Linked DNA regions of Yarrowia lipolytica. The protein of the gene in region 1 binds, or shares a complex with, the protein of each later gene. Links are inferred from orthologs where the notes say so. Each region holds a gene or a part of one and is shown in the gene's direction. Other genes may lie near its edges.

What was found. Proteins that work in one complex are often made in the same cells at the same time.
Region 2: the proteins of YALI1_C00293g (region 1) and YALI1_C13355g are in contact, whole or in part, in a crystal structure (PDB 6U9D), measured with the Saccharomyces cerevisiae proteins. The link is inferred for Yarrowia lipolytica from reciprocal best matches to the Saccharomyces cerevisiae genes ILV2 and ILV6. Residues at the interface, in NP_013826.1 of Saccharomyces cerevisiae: Arg211, Lys215, Trp216, Asn217, Ile236, Pro269, Ser270, Ala272, Leu273, Pro410, Lys411, Ile413, Asn414, Lys415; in NP_009918.1 of Saccharomyces cerevisiae: Gln85, Glu87, Ser92, Arg93, Arg101, Gln134, Arg137, Gln138, Glu140, Asp141, Leu142, Val143, Pro144, Val145, Tyr146, Ala147.

What each region holds. Positions count from the first base shown.
Region 1 is NC_090772.1:27,482-31,237, reverse strand, and holds the start of YALI1_C00293g (uncharacterized protein), read left to right. Parts: upstream 1-1,285; coding exon 1,286-1,407; intron 1,408-1,872; coding exon 1,873-3,756. UniProt on the Saccharomyces cerevisiae protein: Catalytic subunit of mitochondrial acetolactate synthase, which catalyzes the first of a series of common steps in the biosynthesis of the branched-chain amino acids.
Region 2 is NC_090772.1:1,334,305-1,336,935, forward strand, and holds YALI1_C13355g (uncharacterized protein), read left to right. Parts: upstream 1-1,211; coding exon 1,212-2,078; downstream 2,079-2,631. UniProt on the Saccharomyces cerevisiae protein: Regulatory subunit of mitochondrial acetolactate synthase, which catalyzes the first of a series of common steps in the biosynthesis of the branched-chain amino acids.

The sequences.
Region 1 (3,756 bases):
CTTAACAGATGGTGCATATTTTGGAGTGCCCATCCGAAGCACTAGGCGACCCACCATTAGCTACGATATCCTCCCCCACGTTTTAGCCCATTTTAATCTCCCTCTACCCCACAAGTTGTCTCCGATTGTTTAGGCCCATGGACATTTTTACATTTTTAGGGGTGGTTTTAAGTCTGTCACACGTTTTAGCATGTACGTGGTCAGTCATAAATCTAATCACGCCGGTATCGCTGCCGGACTTTAGCCCTACAGTGCAAGGTGACTCTTTGATGTGTGATGCGCCAACCAGTTATTTTCGCACTGTACTCGTAGCGAATGCATCAAACACTCCGCGGGTGTCGTTTCTTGGACGTGGCATGCTGGGCGGCAAGTTTCCCATGCCAAGACTCTCTTGCTCATGTATGGTGAAACGTCTCCTCTCAACCTCCAGTATCGTGGGACGTGCTTTGACCTCCCGACAACTCCCGACTTTTTTTGCAGGCCGATACAGGCCAATAGACTGTAGACGTCTGTATCTGTTAGCATACCTACTGCAGAGTAACTGTTGAGCCAATTGTTCTACTGTACAGAAACGGTAACTATGACACAAGTACGAGTATGAGCACGAGCACGAGCTCTGGTATGTATTGTGCTAGACTACGGAAAATACTCTGCGCCCTCTTTCTCTGTGCTTACGTGGATTTCTGATGGGTCGATACAGAGAAAGATGCAGCCTCTCTGACTCAGGGACGAATTCTATCTGCCCCGAACACGGTAGGTGGTGTAGGTGTAATGGTACATCTCATACAGAGCAACACCGAGCAGCCACAAAGTCACAGGTGCTCACAATATGTGCCGCGTGTGGAGCCTACCGCGTCCCTATTTCTTGCCCTCTTATTGCCCTTTGTTAAACGTCTCAAATGTGCGAGATACCTTTTCTGCTTGTGACTCTTTTTTCTCCGCAAGCACGCCGAGGATAAACTTTTGCCTTGATGCCGAGGGTTGGGTGATTCTACAAGTAGGGCGATCGGAGAATTTAGCTTGCAAGTGGCGACACAAGAGGAGACTGAGCGGATTGGAAACACGGCCCGGCGATGTGTTTTACCACGTTTAATGCTTCATTTGGAAATATGCCGATACCGCAGCGTACCTGTAAGCTCTTTCCCTAGTCCCAGTGTACACCCGCCGATATCGCTTACCCTGCAGCCGGATTAAGGTTGGCAATTTTTCACGTCCTTGTCTCCGCAATTACTCACCGGGTGGTTTATAAGATTGCAAGCGTCTTGATTTGTCTCTGTATACTAACATGCAATCGCGACTCGCCCGACGGGCCACTAACCTGGCCAGAATCTCCAGATCCAAGTATTCTCTTGGTCTGCGATATGTTTCCAACACAAAAGCCCCTGCTGCCCAGCCGGCAACTGCTGAGTGAGTATTCCTTGCCATAAACGACCCAGAACCACTGTATAGTGTTTGGAAGCACTAGTCAGAAGACCAGCGAAAACAGGTGGAAAAAACTGAGACGAAAAGCAACGACCAGAAATGTAATGTGTGGAAAAGCGACACACACAGAGCAGATAAAGAGGTGACAAATAACGACAAATGAAATATCAGTATCTTCCCACAATCACTACCTCTCAGCTGTCTGAAGGTGCGGCTGATATATCCATCCCACGTCTAACGTATGGAGTGTGATAGAATATGACGACACAAGCATGAGAACTCGCTCTCTATCCAACCACCGAAACACTGTCACTACAGCCGTTCTTGTTGCTCCATTCGCTTTTGTGATTCCATGCCTTCTCTGGTGACTGACAACATTCCTTCCTTTTCTCCAGCCCTGTTGTTATCTGCTCATGACCTACGGCCACTCTCTATCGCATACTAACATAGACGATCCCAGCCCGCTCCCCACTTCCAGGGCACCGTTGGCAAGCCTCCTATCCTCAAGAAGGCTGAGGCTGCCAACGCTGACATGGACGAGTCCTTCATCGGAATGTCTGGAGGAGAGATCTTCCACGAGATGATGCTGCGACACAACGTCGACACTGTCTTCGGTTACCCCGGTGGAGCCATTCTCCCCGTCTTTGACGCCATTCACAACTCTGAGTACTTCAACTTTGTGCTCCCTCGACACGAGCAGGGTGCCGGCCACATGGCCGAGGGCTACGCTCGAGCCTCTGGTAAGCCCGGTGTCGTTCTCGTCACCTCTGGCCCCGGTGCCACCAACGTCATCACCCCCATGCAGGACGCTCTTTCCGATGGTACCCCCATGGTTGTCTTCACCGGTCAGGTCCTGACCTCCGTTATCGGCACTGACGCCTTCCAGGAGGCCGATGTTGTCGGCATCTCCCGATCTTGCACCAAGTGGAACGTCATGGTCAAGAACGTTGCTGAGCTCCCCCGACGAATCAACGAGGCCTTTGAGATTGCTACTTCCGGCCGACCCGGTCCCGTTCTCGTCGATCTGCCCAAGGATGTTACTGCTGCCATCCTGCGAGAGCCCATCCCCACCAAGTCCACCATTCCCTCGCATTCTCTGACCAACCTCACCTCTGCCGCCGCCACCGAGTTCCAGAAGCAGGCTATCCAGCGAGCCGCCAACCTCATCAACCAGTCCAAGAAGCCCGTCCTTTACGTCGGACAGGGTATCCTTGGCTCCGAGGAGGGTCCTAAGCTGCTTAAGGAGCTGGCTGAGAAGGCCGAGATTCCCGTCACCACTACTCTGCAGGGTCTTGGTGCCTTTGACGAGCGAGACCCCAAGTCTCTGCACATGCTCGGTATGCACGGTTCCGGCTACGCCAACATGGCCATGCAGAACGCTGACTGTATCATTGCTCTCGGCGCCCGATTTGATGACCGAGTTACCGGCTCCATCCCCAAGTTTGCCCCCGAGGCTCGAGCCGCTGCCCTTGAGGGTCGAGGTGGTATTGTTCACTTTGAGATCCAGGCCAAGAACATCAACAAGGTTGTTCAGGCCACCGAAGCCGTTGAGGGAGACGTTACCGAGTCTGTCCGACAGCTCATCCCCCTCATCAACAAGGTCTCTGCCGCTGAGCGAGCTCCCTGGACTGAGACTATCCAGTCCTGGAAGCAGCAGTTCCCCTTCCTCTTCGAGGCTGAAGGTGAGGATGGTGTTATCAAGCCCCAGTCCGTCATTGCTCTGCTCTCTGACCTGACAGAGAACAACAAGGACAAGACCATCATCACCACCGGTGTTGGTCAGCATCAGATGTGGACTGCCCAGCATTTCCGATGGCGACACCCTCGAACCATGATCACTTCTGGTGGTCTTGGAACTATGGGTTACGGCCTGCCCGCCGCTATCGGCGCCAAGGTTGCCCGACCTGACTGCGACGTCATTGACATCGATGGTGACGCTTCTTTCAACATGACTCTGACCGAGCTGTCCACCGCCGTTCAGTTCAACATTGGCGTCAAGGCTATTGTCCTCAACAACGAGGAACAGGGTATGGTCACCCAGTGGCAGTCTCTCTTCTACGAGAACCGATACTGCCACACTCATCAGAAGAACCCCGACTTCATGAAGCTGGCCGAGTCCATGGGCATGAAGGGTATCCGAATCACTCACATTGACCAGCTGGAGGCCGGTCTCAAGGAGATGCTCGCATACAAGGGCCCTGTGCTCGTTGAGGTTGTTGTCGACAAGAAGATCCCCGTTCTTCCCATGGTTCCCGCTGGTAAGGCTTTGCATGAGTTCCTTGTCTACGACGCTGACGCCGAGGCTGCTTCTCGACCCGATCGACTGAAGAATGC
Region 2 (2,631 bases), about 1.3 Mb from region 1:
TTTTGTTGACATTATTTTCTCCAGTTTATTCACATCAAGTAACTCTAGCTGACTCGGCAAAAATCGGCTCATAAAAAAAAATAAAAAATTCTTGCACCGATAACGGTTGGTATCAAGATGATCGAAGAATGCCCCGATTGGCGATTTACAAGCACCAGATTGTATCCGTAGTACCATAGGTGGCAACATCGTTTTAATATTAGAAACCGACTCACTACAACCCGTTCTATCATCCAATATTGTCTTCTATCCTGCGATAACGGACAGGTGCATGACGAAGTCGGTTGCCTGGGGCAAGAAGTGTCGGGATTTGACGCCGGCAATGGTGGAAATGGTTTATATTTGGGTGAGTTTTTGTGTGCCTTTTTTGTTATTTTTGGTTATTTTTTTTGTTATTTTTGAATACTTATCTACCTTTTTGATTTTCAATTTTCAATTTTCAATTTTCAATTTTGATTTTGATTTTGATTTTGGTTTTGATTTTCAATTTTCAATTTTTTCAATTTAATTTTTAATTTACTTTTATATCAAAAGTCATGCCGATATCGGAAGAGTTGATCTTTGTTGGAGTTTTCGGAAAGCCGGATTGAAATTTCGAGAGGATGGTATTTCAACGACTCCGACAAAAATGAACTACTTTGATTCTCGGTGACGTTTCTGTGGACCTAGTTACACGTATTTTTACCGCTGCTACACCGATATCGGGACAGGAGTAATTGGCTGGAGTGCAATGCAGATAATGGGTCCCGATAGCCGGGGGAGGACATGTGTACAGTAATGGGTTACACGAGTGATGTAATGGGACGACCGACAAGAGCAATGTAATGGGACGACAAGAGCAATGTAATGGGACGACAAGAGTAGTGGCACGACAAGATCGATGTCATGTGATGCCACACAAATGGAGTAATGGCATGACCTGTTTATTGTTGTTGGTGATGCATGGTTTTTGTCGTGCCATCCGACCAATCGGATCAGGTTATGAGTTAATATACTTGGCCGAAAGGTGAAGATATGGATTGTGTGATGGGGCCCACGGCCGACGTGTGGTGACCACCCGTGCTCTGTAACGGCCATCATTTCTGCTGTGGTGACCACCCAGGCTTGTTCACTGGTTCCTTCTCCTCACAAAATAAAGTTATGACTCTACCTACACCACCACCTTAAAAACAACTTCCTTTCCTCCTACCGCATCTTCTTCTCCCCACAACATGCTTGGAAAACGATTTGTGGGTCCCGTGCTGACCCCCAAGGGCGCTCGGCACTCGTCCATCAGTGCCCTGGCGTACAAGACGCTCCACCGAAACCGATCGCAGCCCAAGCTGCCCGTTATCGAGACTCCAGCATGGAACGCCAACACGGCGGTTTCTTCCATTCTGTACGAGACCCCGATGCCGTCCAAGGCGCCCATCAAGGCACACGTGTTCAACTGTCTGGTTCAGAACGAACCCGGTGTTCTGTCGCGAGTTGCCGGCACTCTGGCGTCTCGAGGCTTCAACATTGATTCGCTGGTAGTGTGCAACACGGAGGTTGCCGATCTGTCGCGAATGACCATTGTTCTGCGAGGCCAGGATGCCGTGATCGAGCAGGCGCGACGACAGATTGAGGATCTGGTGCCCGTGTGGGCAGTGCTGGACTACTCCAACGCCTCGATCATCAAGCGAGAGCTGCTGCTGGCCCGAGTGTCGATTCTGGGCCCCGAGTACTTCCAGGATCTGCTGACCCACCACGGCCACGAGTTTGAGGACGCCGTGCTGCAGAACGACTTCCACCCCAACAACATTGCCGCCTCCGAGGCTCTGCGACACAAGCACCAGTACCTGGACGCCGTGACCAAGCTGGCCCACCAGTTTGGCGGCAAGATTCTCGACATTTCTGAGCGAAACGTCATTGTCGAGCTCTCGGCCAAGCCCGAGCGAGTCTCCTCCTTCCTGCACCTTCTCAAGCCCTTTGGTATTCTTGAGGTGGCCCGATCCGGAATGATGGCCCTGCCCCGAACTCCTCTTGAGACCCCCGATGAGGAGGACATCAAGAAGGCCGAGGAGGTGGTTGACCAGACCTCTCTGCCTCCTGGTTAGACGGTGGTTGAGGACCCCAAAATTGAATAACGGATGTAGTAATATAGCATTAGCAGGAGTTGACGTGGTGCGAAATGTAGGGAGCAGTAGGAAGTTGTTGAGCCAGGCCGTGAAGACGAAAAGAGACACTTTGAGTGTCAAATATGAGTACTTTACCAGCACTCAGACTATTTGTACTTGTATTAGAGAAGAGGTGTTTTTTTAAAAAAATTGACTCGTTATTTTTAATGCCGTGTTTTTTATTTTTATTTTTATTTTTATTTTTATATTTATTTAGTTAATACTTTTCAAAAAGTTTGATTATGTTTTTTTTTTTTTCCCGTGTTTTATTTAGTTATTATTTATATTTTTATGATTTTATTAAAAATAAAGGACAAGAGTTCCAGCCAAGAAATTTCAGAAGAGAAAAACGAACATTTTGTAGATATCTCACCACTCGTCATTATATAGACCCCAATTGCCACTCCATCCCGCCTTCATAAGTTTCCCAGCTCCCAGGAACTCAGAAATCATATTATTTTATCAATTGAAGACTGAGCTTTCGGATTTTCGA